Linked DNA regions of Xenopus tropicalis. The protein of the gene in region 2 interacts with the protein of the main gene of each other region in a pairwise test. Links are inferred from orthologs where the notes say so. Each region holds a gene or a part of one and is shown on either strand. Other genes may lie near its edges.

The links.
Region 1: the proteins of pum2 (region 2) and dazl interact in a two-hybrid assay, tested with the Homo sapiens proteins (2 studies listed by BioGRID and IntAct). The link is inferred for Xenopus tropicalis from reciprocal best matches to the Homo sapiens genes PUM2 and DAZL.

The regions. Positions count from the first base shown.
Region 1 is NC_030677.2:190,324,650-190,328,490, forward strand, and holds part of dazl (deleted in azoospermia-like), read right to left. Parts: intron 2,838-3,841; coding exon 2,721-2,837; intron 2,616-2,720; coding exon 2,524-2,615; intron 1-2,523. UniProt on the Homo sapiens protein: RNA-binding protein, which is essential for gametogenesis in both males and females. Plays a central role during spermatogenesis.
Region 2 is NC_030681.2:143,259,733-143,263,573, reverse strand, and holds part of pum2 (pumilio homolog 2), read left to right. Parts: intron 1-895; coding exon 896-1,132; intron 1,133-3,841. UniProt on the Homo sapiens protein: Sequence-specific RNA-binding protein that acts as a post-transcriptional repressor by binding the 3'-UTR of mRNA targets.

The DNA.
Region 1 (3,841 bases), on a different chromosome or scaffold from region 2:
AGTAAAAGCCCCTAAAATGAGAGAGCACAAAATGTTAAGAAAACATCTGGCACTGAGTGGAACCGAAATGTGAAATTCTGCTGGCAGTTAAAGGGTTAATGAGAAAAAGATCAGATACCTTCAGGATAGAGCTATGAGTGCAGCAAGCAAAGTGTGATTGAGCACAATTGCCATTTTTTCCCCCCCAGTGACATTCACCCTATTCTTTCAATGCAAGTGTGCCGCACCTATTGACATGGGGCCCTAAAGCAACCCTAGAGCTACTGCCTGTTTCCCTGTGACAACAGGTGCAACAGAGCTCAGTTCAGAATGAAGGCAGGAAGAGATATTCACCTCAGTCCCTCTGCTGATCCTTCACTTCTGCACAGACCCTGTGCAGGAAGAAAGGGGGGGGGGGGGGGGGGCAGTGACCCCTATAAACACTACAGTTGCTTTTTTAAGTTCCTTACTGGCAGCAGACTTAACTCCTGTCAGTCTGACATTGCTTTCTGTGCCTGTGACAGTGCTATAAAAATCTAACACACACACACACACTAATATATATATATATATATATATATATATATATATATATATATATATATATATGTATATATAGTGTGTGTATGTATATATAGTGTGTGTATGTATATATAGTGTGTGTATGTATATATAGTGTGTGTATGTATATATAGTGTGTGTATGTATATATAGTGTGTGTATGTGTGTATGTATATATATATAGTGTGTGTATGTGTGTATGTATATATATATAGTGTGTGTATGTATATATATATATATATATAGTGTGTGTATGTATATATATATATATATATATAGTGTGTGTATGTATATATATATATATATATAGTGTGTGTATGTATATATATATATATATATATATATATAGTGTGTGTATGTATATATATATATATATATATATATATAGTGTGTGTATGTATATATATATATATATAGTGTGTGTATGTATATATATATATATAGTGTGTGTATGTATATATATATATATATAGTGTGTGTATGTATATATATATATATATATAGTGTGTGTATGTATATATATATATATATAGTGTGTGTATGTATATATATATAGTGTGTGTATGTATATATATATAGTGTGTGTATGTATATATATATAGTGTGTGTATGTATATATATATATAGTGTGTGTATGTATATATATATATAGTGTGTGTATGTATATATATATATATAGTGTGTGTATGTATATATATATATAGTGTGTGTATGTATATATATATATATATAGTGTGTGTATGTATATATATATATAGTGTGTGTATGTATATATATATATAGTGTGTGTATGTATATATATATATAGTGTGTGTATGTATATGACACACACACACACACACACACACACACACACACACACACACACACACACACACACACACACACACGCCATCAGAAATCACAGGGCCCCTCATAACAAAATTTCTGGGCCCCACCATCAATACAAGGGATACACAAGCATTGGTAGCGAGGGCCCCCTAAAACATTGGTAGCCAGGGACCCCTTAAACATTTGTTGCCAAGGGTTACGTTTTGCATTAGTGGCAGGGACCCACTAATACATTGCTAGCCAGCCCAGGGCCCCCTAAAACATTGGTGGTTCTCCCCCAGTGTTCCCATACAATGGCCCACTCTGCTGTTTCTTGACGCTCCCCCCCCCAGAATCCTCCTGCTTCTTTCAGGGCCCCCTAAGCATCCTTCAACTCCCCCACCCAACATCCTGCTGCTTCTTCCAAGCCCCCCCCAAGAATCCTCCACCTTCCCCCAGGGCCCCCCCCCCAAGCATCCTCCACCTTCCCCCAGGGCCCCCCCCCCCCCCAAGTATCCTCCACCTTCCCCCAGGGTCCCCCCAAGCATCCTCCAGTCCTCCGCCGCCAGCATCCTTCTGCTTCTTCCGGCTCCTCACCTGTGTCAACTCCGGCTTCATTTGTATCTTCCACTACGTCCCGAGCTCCCCGCTACATGTGCGCTTTTATAGGGTTGCGCTCCGTGCGTGTGACGTCAGTGAGCACAGGGCGCAACCTTATAAAAGCGAACATGTAGCGGGGAGCTCGGGACATAACAGCGGACGCCGGCAATGGAAGTAACAGGGCCCGAGGTAAAAAAAAAAACTAGCACAGCCGGGCCCCCTTTAAACGCCCGGGCCCGGGACAACTGTCCCCCCTGTGCCCCCCTGATGGCGGCCCTGCATATACATACACACATACATACATTTGTGATATGCAGAGTTTGCCTATGTCATTGCAAGGGAAAAATTAACTATTGTTGGTGGTTTTAAAATAATTTGGACATTGAACAACCCCTTTACATGGGGTTGGCGATCTTCTCCCGATATCCCCACCTACAGATGGGCGATATCGGGCAAATGCAGGCTAATTCAATAGTCAAATTATAACGGCAGTAATGGGCTCAGTCGGTTCGGGGGCCGGCAGTAAATTTTTACTTACTGCCCAAAAAAAAATAAAATAAGGTACCAACTTACCCTTTGGACACCCCTGTTCTGTCTGTGATTATTTTTAAGTCTTTCACTTTGCCATACTTTTCAAAGAGGTTGCCAATCGCCATTTCATCCATCTTAAGAAAAAAAAAAAATTATAATATAATATATATGGTATACTTTAAGTATGTTTACTTAAACTAAATGGGGGTGTGGGGAAAAAAATAAAATAAAAAATGTACCGTTATATCAATGCCTCCAACAAACACGGTGTTGGGAATGACTTTCCCCTCTGGCAACACAAAAGCTTGGCTTGTAGCAGAGGCGGCCTCCTCTCCAGCACTTGCTTCTGTTGCAGACTATAAACAGAAATTAACTTTAAACACATGCATTTCGTTCTGAAGATTAACCACGAAAAGTATATACTGTATTGCTATAAGACAAAACATTATGCTGACAGTATACACATCTTTCATATGTGTATACTGTCCATTTAAAAACAGACTCCAAGGAGAGAGCTAGTAGAGAGCTTTCTGGACACTTGTTTCTGGGTAAGGGTCCCTTTTCACTATATACTTTGGTTAAACAGATTTAAAATGGGCCCTGGCATTTCTAATACACAGAGACTCAAACAACCCCCCCACCCACTCACTAGTGACCGTCTATGGCATCTTACAGCAGCCTCTCTGGCATTTGGCAGAATCCATAGATTGCCAGTAAGGTAAATTTGATATTTTTTTCCAACACAATGGAGGTTTATTCACAAACGCTGAGTAAAGTAAAACTGTCTGTCATGATCGCGGATCATAGAGTGTTTCTGGTCGTAGTGTTTGGAGTAATGAACTAGGCATTGCAATGTAATGGGGGGTTTCCAAGGGTCACCACAAAGGGAGTTAACGCAAAACAAAGACCAGTGTTAAGGCAACAGTTCAGGGCAAGCAGCCTAGAGACAAAGCAATCATAAGGGCCTACCAATAGTAAGGTTGACCATAATAAATGGACCAAGTCCATTGGAGGCAGCTGCACTTTAAAGGTTGAATTTCAGGCTTTTTGGGCTTGCTGAAAAATACAGGTATAGGATCCCTTATCCTGAAACCCAATATCTAGATTGTTCCGAATTACAGAAAGGCCATCTCCCATAGACTCCATTATAAGCAAATAATATAGATAAAGATATAATTCATCCTTACTGGAGGCAAAACAAGCCTATTGGGTTTATTCAATATTTAAATGATTTTTAGCAGACTTAAGTTATGGAGATCCAAATTACAGAAAGATCCCTTATCCAGAAAACCCCAGGTCCCGAGCATTCTGGAAAATGGGTCCCATACCTGTACAAGGGAAGTGCATCTGATCTTGCCAG
Region 2 (3,841 bases):
ATATGGTCCCCCCCTAAAGTCACTGGAAGGAAGTAGTGTTCTGGCTATTATGTTGGACATCTCACTCCAGCCTTTATAGATTACATTTTTGCCTAACTATATTACAGATATGGGATCTGTTAGCCGGAAACCCATTATCCAGGTTCTGCATTACAGGAAGACCATCTCCCATAGACTCCATTACAAGCAAATAATTCTAATTTTTAAAAATGAGTTCCATTTTCTCTGTAATAATAAAACCGTACCTGTACTTGATCCCAACTAAGATATAATTACCCCTTATTGGGGCAGAACAATCCTATTGGGTTTATTTAATGGTTAAATGATTCCCTTTTTTCTGTAATAATAAAACAGTACCTGTACTTGATCCCAACTAAGATATAATTACCCCTTATTGGGGGCAGAACAGCCCTATTGGGTTTATTTAATAGTTAAATAATCTTTTAGTAGACTTAAGGTATGGAGATCCAAATTATGGAAAGACCCCATATCAAGGAAAACCCCAGGTCCCGAGCATTCTGGATAATGGGTGCCATACCTGTACAAATTTTTTATTTTGCACGGTCTATTTTACCCAGTTTAAATGTTACACTGAACTGACACCCGTGAGCTAAGCATTATTACAGCCGAGCCGACTGTTTCTATGATGCTATTAATTACACACATCATACCTAATTATCAGAATTTGTATTCATTGCAATAAATTAGGGTTTTTCTCTAGCCGCTAGCCAACCCCCTCTAGCCCCCATTTTCCCTTTAGCTGTCGCCATCCTCATCCTTCAATCTTCCGTTAGTGTCTCTCGCCTGAATCTAATTTTAGATGTTCATCATTTAACCCTGTGTGTTTTTAAATTTTTATTTTTTGTTTGTTTTTTTTTTTATTTTATTTCTTCAGTTGGCAATTCCGCAGGTAGTAGTGGCTCAAGGAGAGATTCCCTGTCTGCTAGCTCTGACTTGTACAAAAGGTCTAGCAGCAGCCTAGCACCCATAGGGCAGCCATTTTACAATAGCCTGGGATTCTCCTCTTCTCCGAGTCCAATAGGCATGCCTCTGCCAAGCCAAACGTCAGGACATTCACTAACGCCACCGCCATCCCTTTCATCACATGGATCCTCATCCAGTTTGCATTTAGGTAAAGCAAACTCTTACTTGTATGTTTTGTGTGTGTTTGTGACTGTGACCGTGCTGTGCTCTTTGTTTCTTTGTTACCATTTTGGCATTTGTAACTGATGATGTGCAGGTTTTTAATCAGAGCTTTATAGTGGGGTAAGAGATGCAGGATTGGGAGATTCCATTCTGCGGGGTTTGCTGAACTTCAAGCCTTAAAGTGGATGTCCACCTTTACATTAACTTTTAATAAGACATGGATATTCTGTGACAATTTTGCACCTTTTTTTTAGTTAGCTTTTTGTTCAGCAGCTCTCCAGTTTGGCACTTTAACAGCTGGTTGCCAGGGGCTTCTTTAACTTAGCAACGAGCCCGTCGCTTGAATGAGAGACTAATATAAATAGGAGTGAGGCTGAATAGAAAGATAAGGAATAAAAAGTAACAATGATAACATTATGACCTTACAGAGCAATTATTTTTTGACTTCTGACCCTGCAAATAATTAAAACTCCTAATTCTAATCTGCCAGTGCCTCATCCACATGTTGAGAAGGGGCTTTGGCTAATAAAATGCCATGGACTCCCCCAGAGTCGCAACTGTGCCGATTACATGTGCCGCAACTGTAGGCTAATAACGTACAGGGTAAGCACAATAACCTTGGAAGAGCCTGTGGTTGGAGGGCCCTGCTCTTCTGTGTTAAAGGGCTAGTTTACTTTTAGTAAGTAATTGAATGACCAGTTCTTAGCAACTTTTCAGTTGGTCTTCATTTTTTTTCTCTTTTTCTTCTGACTTTTTTCAGCTAAAAAATGGTCACTAATCCCGGCAGCCAAACAACTATTGCTCTGTGAGGCTACAACTTTTATTATAGTTACTTACCTTTCTATGCAGGTTCTCCTATTCATATTCCAGTCTCTCATTCAAACCACTGCAGGGTTACTAAGATACTTTGAACCCTAGCAACCAGATAGCCGCTGAAATTGCAAACTGAAGAATTGCTGCACAAAAAGCTAAATTAAAAAAAAAAACACAAACACACAGAAAAAGTGAAATTCCATTGCAAATTGTCTATCACTCTCTACATACTAAAAGTTAATATTAAGGTGAACAACCCCTTTTGTCTTTTTTGAATGTGCTTTTTCTTTGTATTATTGGTTACATAACCTGCAGCAGCTTCTGTGCTGGGAAATGGCATGTAGTGAATGTCGGCCTGATAGCTAATATCAAATGAGCAATGAGGTTCTGGTAGGCTCACTTTTAATTGGGTTACGTAAAGACTTACTATTGGTGTTACTCACCAGGGCTGGACTTTAAAGGAACAGTAACACCAAAAAATTAAAGTGTATAAAAGTAATAACAATGTAATGTACTGTTGCCCTGCATTGCTACAACTGGTGTGTTTGCCTCAGAAAGACTACTATAGTTTATAAAAGTTAGCTGCTGTGTAGCCATGGGGGCAGCCATTCAAAGGAGAAAAGGCATAGGTTACTTAGCAGATAACAGATAAACCCCCATTATATGGGACTTATCTACTAGTTATCGGTTATTGATTGCTTTATATGTTACTCTGTATGTCCAATGTATGAAACCCACTTATTGTACAGCACTGCGGGATATGTTGGCACTTTATAAATAAATGTTAATGTAATGTTATCTGCTATGTAACCTGTGCCTTTTTTCCAGCTTGAATGGCTGCCCCCATGGCTACACAGCAGCTTATTTATATAGTAGCTTTTCTGTAGCAAAAACACCAGTTTTTTGCAGAGCAACAGCACATTATATTTTAATTACTTTAAAACACTTTAATTTTTTGATTTTACTGTTCCTTTAAATTACTCTGTGCCCTTGTTGTGGTTTCTTCTACTTTTTGGCCCTAACTAGAAGCATGGGATGTAACCCCCCACCTCCCACCCAAATGGTGCTGTCCACTCGGCCACCCACATACACTGCTTCTGGCCTTTGTGGCACTGACTAGCCCTGCCCAGTAGTATATACGTTACCCACTTACCTGATCTCTGTAGTGCTGATGGGTGTTTGAGCATGAAAAACAGTTATTGTCTTTACCTTTTTGTTCCGTTTCTTTCCTATGCTTTCTACTAACATCCTGTCACTGGTCTAATTTCTTTTATCCCCCCCACCCTCCCCCAGTCTGTTTTTATCCTTTCCTCCAGCTTTGGGTATAGACTTTCTTTCTTTCCTACGACATTTGCCATTTTGGTAGTGCCTAAAGACTGACCCTGCTTTTTTCTACTGTGTTAACTTTGTCTTCCAATCAGCATTGAACCTGTATGCCCAGAACATTCTGCCTCTTTATTCCCATCATTAATGGGGGGAGGGGTTGCCAGACTCGTGCCAAAGAACAGCCAACATGGAGGACACTCTCCCAGTAGGGTTGAGGAGCTGATTGAACCTTCTTTTCCTCTTGGTTTGGATTCCAACCCCTCCCATATATAAGCTATGACTTGAGTTGTCATTTCCGCACTTTGTTTCTCTAAAGTTTTTCATTCATCCAGGTCGTGATATACAGTATCTAGTAGAATTAAGTTTAAAACAACTGGACTTTTCTGAGTTTTTGGGAAAACGTTTTACTGCCCATCCGAGCGGCTTCTTCAGTTCAAATGACTGGTAGGAAATTCCCGGCATTTAACATATTAACGTGCTTATTTTGGACCTAGAAGACTCCAGACTGGAAAAACCATCCCTGAACAGTGGAGGGGACTGCGACACCGCTTGTCAT